3 linked regions of the Oryctolagus cuniculus genome follow. The protein of the gene in region 3 interacts with the protein of the main gene of each other region in a pairwise test. Links are inferred from orthologs where the notes say so. Each region holds a gene or a part of one and is shown on either strand. Other genes may lie near its edges.

The links.
Region 1: the proteins of IMMT (region 3) and PFDN1 interact in a two-hybrid assay, tested with the Homo sapiens proteins (2 studies listed by BioGRID and IntAct). The link is inferred for Oryctolagus cuniculus from reciprocal best matches to the Homo sapiens genes IMMT and PFDN1.
Region 2: the proteins of IMMT (region 3) and PDE4DIP interact in a two-hybrid assay, tested with the Homo sapiens proteins (2 studies listed by BioGRID and IntAct, with this or other methods). The link is inferred for Oryctolagus cuniculus from reciprocal best matches to the Homo sapiens genes IMMT and PDE4DIP.

Annotation. Positions count from the first base shown.
Region 1 is NC_091437.1:27,957,975-27,961,625, forward strand, and holds part of PFDN1 (prefoldin subunit 1), read right to left. Parts: intron 1,468-3,651; coding exon 1,301-1,467; intron 1-1,300. UniProt on the Homo sapiens protein: Binds specifically to cytosolic chaperonin (c-CPN) and transfers target proteins to it. Binds to nascent polypeptide chain and promotes folding in an environment in which there are many competing pathways for nonnative proteins.
Region 2 is NC_091438.1:50,661,554-50,665,204, forward strand, and holds part of PDE4DIP (myomegalin), read left to right. Parts: intron 1-353; coding exon 354-473; intron 474-876; coding exon 877-1,402; intron 1,403-3,651. UniProt on the Homo sapiens protein: Functions as an anchor sequestering components of the cAMP-dependent pathway to Golgi and/or centrosomes.
Region 3 is NC_091433.1:116,590,174-116,593,824, reverse strand, and holds part of IMMT (MICOS complex subunit MIC60), read right to left. Parts: intron 883-3,651; coding exon 779-882; intron 1-778. UniProt on the Homo sapiens protein: Component of the MICOS complex, a large protein complex of the mitochondrial inner membrane that plays crucial roles in the maintenance of crista junctions, inner membrane architecture, and formation of contact sites to the outer membrane.

The sequences.
Region 1 (3,651 bases), on a different chromosome or scaffold from region 3:
CTGTGGCCAGGGAGTGCAGTGGAGGATGGCCCAGGTCCTTGGGCCCTGCACCCCATGGGAGACCAGGATAAGTACCTGGCTCCTGCCATTGGATCAGCACAGTGCGCCGGCCGCAGCGCGCCGCCGTGGCGGCCACTGGAGGGTGAACCAACGGCAAAGGAAGACCTTTCTCTGTCTCTCTCACTGTCCACTCTGCCTGTCAAAAAAAATAATAATAAAAAACCTATACATTCTGAGACCACCGCCTGCAATACCCCTGTTAGTTTGAATCCAGCCGCTCCACTTCTGATTCAGCTCTCTGCTATGGCCTGGGAAAGCAGTAGAGGATGGCCCAAGTCCTTGGGTCCCTGCACCCTCCTGGGAGACCCAGAGAAATCTCTTGGCTCCTGGCTCCCGGTTCCTGGCTTCAAATCAGCTCAGCTCTGGCTGTTGTGGCCATTTGGGGAGTGAACCAGCAGATGAGAGACCTCTCTCTCTCTCTGCTTCTGCCTCTCTGTAACGCCACCTTTCAAATAAATATATAAATCTCTGGGGGGAAAAAAACACTACACCTACTGAGACAGGAGTTTAGCCAGCAGTTACCAATTAAGACACCCAAAGGCCTGGGTTCACTGTCTGGCTCTAGCTCTTAACTCTAGTTTCCTGCAAATGCAGACCTTGGGAGGCAGTAGTGATGGGTGTCTGAAACTAACCACGTGGACAACCTGTCTGAGTTCCTGGCCTCCACCTTCACTCATGTCCAGCCCAGTCTGTTGCAGGCATTTGGGAGTTGAACTAACAGATGAAGGTTCTCTTTCTCTGCTTCTCAAATAAGTGAAACAAAAAAATAAAAATAAAAAGGAAGGGGGGTGCATTATGTTGTGGCACCCCTACAGGAGTGCTCCACCTTAGTGCTAACATGCTCCAGCTATTGCAGCCATGTGGAGAATCAAAAAACAGATGGAAGAGCTGTCTCTTCCTCTCTTGTCCCCCTACCTTACAAATCAATCAATAAATAAAATCTTTAAAAAACAAATAAAATTATTCCTACTTAAATAAATCTTTACAAACAAAATTAGTATGGACATAACTGTAGAGAGAACACGGATTTAAGATACATAATTTCAATGTTTAAAATTAAACACTCATACCTTTCTAAGGTTCATTACCTCATTTTTTAAAAAAAGAAGGCATTTGACTAAATAACCACTAACGCTATTTCTATACACTTTGGCCCAAATTTCAAAATAAACAAATTCAATGATTCAGTTCAGACAACCGTTCTCCCATAACAACCCCTGTAAAGATATATTTTACTTACATTCTTCCTACGCCTTCATACATGTTAGTCTCATCTACCAAAGTCATAATTTCTGTATCTGTAAGATGTGCATGTTTTTTCGTTCTGTTCAGTTGCTCAATCTGTATGTCTGCAAGCTTCACTTTCTGTTGAGTGTCAATAACTTTGGCTTGAAGCTCTGTGAAGGCCTAATAAAAATAGGTCCTTGATTTAGTAGGTAAAACATTTTACAGCAAACATGTAAGCCAAACCCAAATACATTAAAACAAAACCTGTTTTCAATTCACAAAGCTGTGAAATTTACCAAAGCAAATATCAGTAAGCTTACACTATAATTATAAATGATCAAGTCACTATGCTAAATACTGAATTTACCTGTCCTTAGAAGATGCAATCAACCTGAAGCAAAAATAAATGCACATTAAAAAATAACCATACCAAGTATCAACTACTCCAGGAGTTTCAGATGATGAAACCCAAGGATTCAAAGAAAAAAACACAGGGGCCAGTTTTGTGGCACAACAGGGCTAAGCCATCACTTGCAAATCAGGCATTCCATCTCTGAATGCCTGTTGGTTCAAGTCCCAACTGCTGCACTCCCAGACCAGCTTCCCATTAACACGCCTGGGAAAGCAGTGCAGGATGGCTCCATGCGTGGAGCCCTGCCATCCCTGTGGGAGATCCAGATGGAGTTCCTGGTTCCTTGCTTCAACTTGGTCCAGCCCTGGCTGTTGCAGGCATTTGAGTGAAGCAGCAGATGGATGGAGGATTGATCCTGATACTTCTGCCTGCGCCTCTGCCTCTGCCTCTGCCTCCGCCTCCATCATCTCCATCTCCCATCTCTCCCTCTCCCCACTCCTACCCTCTCCCCATCTCTGCTTTTCAAAGAAACAAACCTTAAGAAAAAAAACATAAAAGTAACAACTCATTCCATCTGTACTACACAACTAGGTTTCAAAGCATTTTCCCACATTAGTCTGAAATGTTAATATAAGAAAATTAATGAAACTATTAAAGAGGGATATAACACTTAACTCATTTATTCTTCCAAATAACCTTGAGTTAGGGACAAGTTTCACCATCCACAATTTATAAATTAAGTAACTAAATCAATTGAGATAAAAGTGGCTTACATAGGGTTGAACGACATAAGATTCAAAAGGAAGGTATTAGAATCATTTTCTTCTGACCCCTTAGTTCAGAAATCTTTCACTTTTATTATCTACAGAAACATTCAGAACATGAATATTTTTAAGAAAATTTGTGCCAGCCCCGTGGCATAGCAGGTAAAGCCACCACCTGCAGTACCAGCATCCCATATGGGCATCAACTTGAATCCCAGCTGCTCCACTTCTGATCCAGCACTCTGCTATGGCCTGGGAGAGCAGTGGAAGATGACCCAAGTCTCTGGGCATCAACACCCACATGAGAGACCTGAGGGAAACTCCAGACTCCTGGCTTTGGATCCCACCAGCTCCGGCTGTTGCAGCCATTCAGGGAGTGAACCAGCAGATGGAAGATCTCTCTCATCCACTATGGACACCAGCTCAAATCCCACTGCACCACTTGCAATCCAGCTCTGTGCTATGGACCAGGAAAGCAATGGAAGGTGGCCCAAGTGCCTGGGCCCCTATACCCAGTGGGAGACCTGTAAGAAGCTGCTGGCTCCAGATTGGCACAGCTCCGGATGCTGCAGCTATTTAGGGAGTGAATTAGCGGACAAAAGATCCCTCTCTCTGCCTCTGCATCTCTGTAATTCTGCCTTTCAAATAAATAAATCTTTAAAAAAGGGGGGCCAGTGATTAAAGCCACCGGCTGCAGTGCCGGCATCCCTTAAGGGCACCAGTTCGATCCCAGCTGCTCCAATTCCAATCCAGCTCTGTACTATGGCCTGGGAAAGCCGATGGCCCAAGTCCTGGACCCCTGCATCCACACAAGAGACTCGGAGGAAGCTCCTGGCTTCGGATCTGCACAGTTCTGGCCGTTGCAGCCATCTGGGGAGTGAACCATTGGACATTAGACGCCTCTCTCTCTGCCTCTCTGTAACTCTTTCAAATAAATAAAATAAATCTTAAAAAAAAAAAAAAAAAAAAAAACCAGAATGTAGGTCTGTAGATTCCTCTCTCTCTGCCTCTCTGAAACTTTGCCTTTCAAATAAATAAATCCTTTAAAAAAAAATAGGGGTACAAAAAAGAGAGAAAATGCAAAACACTGGCAGAAGTCTTGCATCATGATCTTCATCCACACACACCAAGCCAAATTTGATCCTTGAGTACACTTAACTCAAACATAAACCCAGTTCTTGGATATTCTTGCTGAAGTGCCTTGGAATGACTTTCACACGCTGTCAGAGTTCTGCCTTAATAACAACA
Region 2 (3,651 bases), on a different chromosome or scaffold from region 3:
GAGGTACATGTGGCCAGTGACTGTCTTATTGGACAATGCAGGTCTGGATGCCTTAGGACTCTAAATTAGTAAAGCTCTGTTCAAGTGATTACTGAGTCCCTGGACATAAAGCACTTGCTGGCTCCACGGGGGCTTCAGGGATCATACATGCAACACCCGACTTACAGATGTAACTGAACCGATGTTATTGGAAAGGGAGGCCAACTTATGCTGCATGAAGTAGGTGTTCTCTGCTCTCACCTGAGTCCAAACAAAGCATCTACCCCACTCTGGATTTGATCTCCCAACCCCTAAAGGCACTGAGGTTGAGGGAGTGCATTTATATTCTGAAACACTCATTAGTCTCTCCCAAGCAGGTGAGTCCCTGGTGAAGCAAGACAGCAAGCAAGTCCAGGTGGACCTCCAGGACCTGGGCTATGAGACCTGTGGGCGGAGCGAGAACGAGGCTGAGCGGGAGGAGACCACAAGTCCTGGTAAGAGTGCAGGGTGTGGGGTCCACCTTCCCTCACATTTGGGTGCTCCTGGCTAATACCCCTCCTGAGAAGTAGAAGGGGAAGAGGGTGTTGTGACTGAGGGAGACACAGGACATGGGAGGATTTGAATTCAGGCTCCGCCATGTGCTAGCTGGAGTGATCTGGAATACGTTCGTTTACCTTTCTCTGAGTGCGGGTTTACACAGTGAGTAACCTAGAAAGTGACCGTTCCTAACTTGCAGGGCTGTCGGGAGGTTCAGAATAACCCGGCTGAATAAGGTTCTGCCTCAGCTTTTGCTCGAGTGACTATTGTCCTCATAGCCAAACCCGCCTCCCCTCACAGGGAGGGGTCACTGCAGAACATGGAGCTTCTGTTCAGGAAGATGTCTTTGTCCTTTTCCAGAGTGTGAGGAGCATGACAGTCTCAAGGGAATGGCCCTCAGGGAGGGGCTGTGCTCCGGGCAGGGATGCCTGGGCCCGGCCCTGGCCAGCACCCCCGGGAAGAAGCCCTCGGAGAGCCAACTCAGGAAACAAGAGTTCCAGGCATACGGGAAATCAGAAGACATCTCGGCCCTGCAAAAGGACATCAGGGATCTGAAAGCCCAGCTGCAGAATGCCAACAAGGTCATCCAAAACCTCAAGAGCCGGGTCCGGTCCCTATCGGTCACGAGCGATTACTCATCGAGTCTGGAGAGACCCCGGAAGCTGAGGGCTGTCGGCACCCTTGAGGGGTGCTCTCCTCGTAGTGTCACTGATGAGGATGAGGGCTGGCTGTCGGATGGCACCGGGGCCTTCTACCCGCCAGGGCTTCAGGCCAAAAAGGATCTGGAGTGCCTTATCCAGAGAGTCTCCCAGCTGGAGGCCCAGCTGCCGAAAACCGGACTGGAAGGGAAACTGGCCGAGGAACTGAGATCAGCTTCGTGGCCTGGGTAAGGAGGGCAGTGTCGGGCCCGTCCTCGATTGACGACGTCTAAGTTTGTGCTGGGAGTAGAGAAGCCCAGGCAGGTAAAAGAGAGAACATATATAGGCAGTCATGCGGGCACTTGCTGCCGTGGTAGACGTAGGTCTCTGGAAAGGACAGATAGACGAACAGCAGGCTGGGAGCTGCCAGGTCTCTGGAATGTCCCTGCAGGCATTTAGTAGAAAAGTGACAGTGTGGGTAATACAGCACAGTAGGAAGAGCCAAGTTGGAGAACCTGGGTTCAAATCCCGGCTCTGCCATTTACTACCTATGCAACCCACCCATCCTGCCTCAGCCCATTTCCTTACCTATTAAATGAAGATAATAAAAGAATACACCTCAGAGGGGGGGTGGTTATTAGGTTTAAAAGAATTAATACAAGTGCTTAGAATAGTGCCTAACATATCTTAATCTCTCCAACCCTATTTGCCATCGTTATCATTGGTATTGATGCTTTGCATTGAAAAACACTGGGTAAACATTCATCTTGGCATGTCCTGGTCATCCATTGCTAAGAAAAAGCCTCCTGAAAACTTGATGACTCTGGATGATGAGCCGTCATCTCTGCGGGTTGACTTGGCTCATGGGGTCCTGCATGGGGCTGCTGTTAGGTGGTAGCCAGGGCTGGAGCCAGCTGAAAGGCCTGACCGGGTGGTCACCGCTCCTTTAGGCACCTGTGTGCTGACTCTGTGCTCCTTGGCCCCTCTCTTTCTCCATGAAGCTCCTGTCTTCCAGGGCCTCTCTGCCTGACTTCAGCTTCTCCTAGCGCGGGGGGTCTCAGGTACTTTCATTTCCATGGGGCAGTGGCTTCTAAGGCAGGAAGTACAAGTTGCCAGGCCGGTTAAGAACCACTCCTGGACTTGACTCCGTGTTACTTTCTCTCTATTATCTTGGTGTAAGTGGTCACAGGGACTGCTCAGATGTAAGGGGATGAATACCCTCTAGCTGCTGAAGGAAAGAAAGCTGTATTGCAGAAGACGTGGGGTGGGAGCTGTGTAATGGACGCAGTATCATAGTATACAAGAAATCCAGACATCGCAGGGTGTGTAGAGTAGAAGACGTGGCAGGTCCCATGTGTATTTAGGGTGAAGTGTTTCTAAGTGTTTACTGGGGATCTGCTGCGTGTCTACACTGTACTGGTACTGGACAGGATGTTAAATATGGCATTGTCTTTACCTCACCGAACTTATGATTTGGTTTTGGACATTGGACTGACATATATTTGGACATTTGACTAGCTCATAAAAACAGTTGAAGGACAGGAGCAGTAGCTGTTTTTCCTTTGCTATTGTAGTTTTCCAGAGCAGAATTTACTCTTTTTTGTTTTTTAAGCCTGAGCCTGGTTTTTTTTTTTTTTTTTTTTTTTTTAGATTTGTCTATTTATTTGAAAGGCAGAGTTACACACACACACACACACACACACACAGGGGGAGAGAGAGAGAGAGAGAGAGAGAGAGAGAGCAAGCTTCATCTGCTGACTCACTCTCCAAATGGCCATAACAGCCGGAGCTGAGCCTTTCTGAAGCAGGAGCCAGGAGCTACTTCCAGGTCTCCGATGTGGGTGCAGGGGCCCAAGGACTTGGGCCATCTTCTACTGCTGTCCCAGGTGCATTAACAGGGAGCTCGATCAGCAGTGGAGCAGCCGGGACTCGAACCAGCGCCTATATGGGATGCTGGTGCTGAAGGCGAGAGTTTACCTGCTATGCCACAGTGCCAGCCCCAGAATTTACTCTTAAATACTTCCGATGACTTTAGCTGGAAGAGTTTCTTAGAGATATTCTCACAGAAACCTCTACAAAATCTCCATAACTTACCACTCACTCTTTCCCTTTTTTCTTTAAAAAATGTTTGATTTAAAAATATTTCAAATATAGGAAAATATAAAGATGAATTCAATGAGCACTCAGAGACTGAATAATTTTTAACTTTTTGCCATGTTCACTTCATATGTAAGTATTATGTATATACACATATGTACTATTTTTCCTGAGAGAAGGAATGGATATATATGTATACATATATATATATATATATATATAATTTGACAGATAGAGTTAGACAGTGAGAGAGACAGAGAGAAAGGTTTTCCTTCTGTTGGTTCACTCCCCAAATGGCTGCTAAGGCCAGCGCTGAGCCGATCCGAAGCCAAGAGCCAGGTGCTTCCTCCTGGTCTCCCACGCGGGTGCAGGGCCCAAGCACTTGGCCCATCCTCCACTG
Region 3 (3,651 bases):
GCAGGGATTAGGCTGATGTCCCTGTCAATCACAAAGAACTGAAGGAACGCAAAGGCCAGGGAGATGGCCAGAGACCTACCTCACTGAGCAAATACGTCAATTTAGAATGACAATTTAGAATGCTTCAAAGGTCAGACTGTGGCCCAGCCACCACAAAACACAGAACTCAGAGCCCTGATACACTGTCTAGTGATGTGGGCATAATCTAAAAGGCGTGTGCTTCATTAGAAGGCTCTATCAAAAATAAATAAAACAGCAAAATTTTAAATAAAAAATAACTACTACACACTGTTGATGAGAACCTTTAGTCCAAATGCAGCCCTCCATCATCAGAGGTTGGTCTTATACTTGGGTTTTTCACTTGATCCTAGTTTCAGTTAACTTCTAGGAATCAAGGTTAAAGTGGCAAAAGACAATATATAGTCAATTCTTAGGTAATTAGGGCAAAGAGATCATGACATATTTTCCAAATTCTGACAGAACTGTTTAAACCAGCCCAGCAAAACAGAAATTATGAAACTCTCAGGAATCTCACCACCTCAACAATAATCCAAAGCAAAACTGACGTTTATATAAGATCATTTATGTAAGTTTCTGTCAAATTTATTTTCACCTCATTGTTTTCCTGTTTCCTGGTACCAGTTCAGAAGCAGCACAGGTGCAGGAGGAAAGGGTCTCTGCCTCCTCTTACAGTATCTTCCCCAGATAATCCAAGGAAAACCCAGCCCAGAGAGCCACCAGAGGCCCTAATTACTTGTTAAAGTCCATGAGTAATTACTTGGCTTTGAGAAGGGCATCAGCAGCTTCATCTACTGCCTTTCTGCGTTCCTTCAATGCTCCCTCCACTGTACGCCACTGGGCAGACTTCTTCTCACCTGCAATCTAAACACAAAATGCGAATTAAGTAAACGTGAACAACTGCTAATACTGTCATCAGATAGGCCAACAAGATTAAGCACAAAATACAAGACATTAAATTCAAAAGAGAAAACTTAGATAGTATCTCTCCAGAATAGGAACTCAATCTAGCAGTCACAGGCACAAAGATGTTCATGAATCACTTCCCATCAACTGTCCTTCCACAAAATCCTAAATAAGAAAAAAAAGGGGGAGGGAGGTTAGGAGGAAGGGGCTCTGGTGTAGTGGGTTAAGTTGCTGTCTGCGACGCCATATTCAATATGGGCACTGGTTTGGTTCCTGGCCGCTCCACTTCCAATCAGCTTCCCGCTAATGTGCCTGGGAAAGCAGAGGAAGATGGCTGGAGTCCTGGGGTCCCCGCCACCCACGTGGAAGACTAAGAGGACACTCCCGGTTTCAGCCTGGGCCAGTTGACCATTTGGAGGGGTGCACCAGCAGATGAAAGATCTCTCTCTTTCTCTATGTCTCCTTCTCTCTAACTCTGCCTCTCAAATAAAAAAATTAGTGTTCCAGTCAACTATTTTCCAAGGAGTTTTATTAGATTCTCAAAAGAAAATATCAACCAGACAAGGTTTATAATAATAGAGGGGGCTGGCACTATGGCGTAGTGGGTAAAGCCACCCCCTACAGCATGCCAGCATCCCAAATGGGCACCGGTTCGAATCTCCGCTTGTCCAACTTCAATCCAGCTCTCTGCTATGGCCTGGGAAAGCAGTAGAAGACTTGGGCCCTTGCACCTACGTAGGAGATCCAGAAGAAGCTCCTGGATCCTGGCTTTGGATCCACACAGCTCTGGCTGCTGCAGCTATCTGGGGAGTGAACCAGGGGATGGAAGACACCTCTCTCTCTCTCTGCCTTTCTATATCTCTGCTGTTCAACTAAATAAATAAATCTTTAAAAAAATAATAGCTTTAAGTGAATCACCTGTTGATTAAGTCATTCTCTGATGTAGTGTTGCTGCCTAAAATTTTCTGAATTGCAGGTCTGGCTACCAAAACTTCAGTTTAAGGACAAGTACAAAGCATACATGTTTAAAAAGAGCACTTACTTGGGGCTGGCACTGTGGCGTAGCAGGTAAAGCTGTCAACTGCAGTGCCAGCATCCCATATGGGCACCGGTTTAAGTCCTGGCTACTCCAGGATGAGATGGCAGACAAGTCACAACACCTTGTCCTCTCCTCATTTTGCACCATATAAACATTGATCAGAATATTGGGAATTGTCTAAACTATTTAAAATTATTTTAAATGAACTATTGAAAATTATCTTTCGTCTCCTTTTTCTTTTTCCAAGTGCATATAAACTGGATATATTACATGTGGGTATGAAGCAAAATTACCTTATGGACCCTGGAGATGAACAGGTATATACTAAATCACCAAAGAATAATTGACTTAGAAAAAAATAACTGAATTGTTTCAATACCCGAGTTTGAAATCACCCCAACAGGACGACCACAGGAGTTGCTGCACATCTCCTCGAGCACTGCAGCTCTGTGCAAGTCTGCTGTGGTGGAACCAGGAAAGAAGGCACATGCAGATTTCTACAGAAATGCTGATTCCATGAAAAGTTTTGAGGAGATGAAGAACGCTGGTTTCTTCCAGAATACAAAGTGATATGGGATGTAAAGAATGTCTTTAGGTTGAATTCTATAGTAGTGTGCCACTGTACCAGGCCAATGCCAGGAGTCCAGAGCTTCTTCCAGGTCTTCCATGTGGGTGTAGGGGCCCAAGCACTTGGGTCTGCTTCCACTGTTCCCCAGGTGCATCAGTTGGGAGCTGGATCAGAAGTAGAGCAGGGGCCAGCGCTATGGCATAGTAGCTGAAGTTGTCGCTGGCAGTGCCAGCATCCCATATGTTCGAGACCCCCCTGTTCCACTTCTGATCCAGCTCTCTGCTATGGTCTGGGAAAGCAGTGGAAGATGGCCCAAGTGCTTGGGGCCCTGCAACTGCATGGGAGACCCGAAGGAAGCTTCTGGCTCCTGGTTTTGTATCAGCACAGTTCCAGCCATTGCGGCCATCTAGGTAGTGAGCCAGCAGATGGAAGACCTCTCTCTCTCTCTGCCTCTCTGTAACTCTGTCTTCAAATAAATAAATAAATCTTATTAAAAAAAAAAAAAAAAAAAAAAAAAAGAAGAAGAAGAAGAAGAAGAAGTGGAGCAGCCAGGACTCAAACCAGTACCTGTAGGCCAAATGCAATGCCAGCATTACTGGTGGCAGCGTAACCTGTTTGCCACAACACGGGCCCCTGTTTTACTCTTTAAATTACTTTGTATAGAGATACATATCCTGAACTACTGAATTTAATGTAAAGAAATGTATTGATCCCCAGTATTATGCTTAGAAGTGAATATTATTTTATTCTTTGAAGCACTCAATGTAAGTTAATAAGCATAAGCACTCAAATAGCTAGTGTTTTGGAGTACATAGCTTCTCTATTACTTCTTATGTCAATCTAGAAGTATCTCAAAATACAAAGTTTTCTATGTAAAGAAATGGCTTTAGATTTTAGGGCAAAAAATAAGGAAGCAACAATTACATTCAAACATTATTAAGGTACAAAGACAAATCTGAATTCTTGTAAAATACATCAGCGTGGTGAGATAAAGCATTTATATATAGAATTCATTTACAAAGACATTTAAAGGCTTCTCTCAGTTTGTTTTTTAGTGACAAGTACTCTAGCCTGTCTTCACTCAGCGAGAGAAAGCCGATACCCATGAGGAAGAAATCAG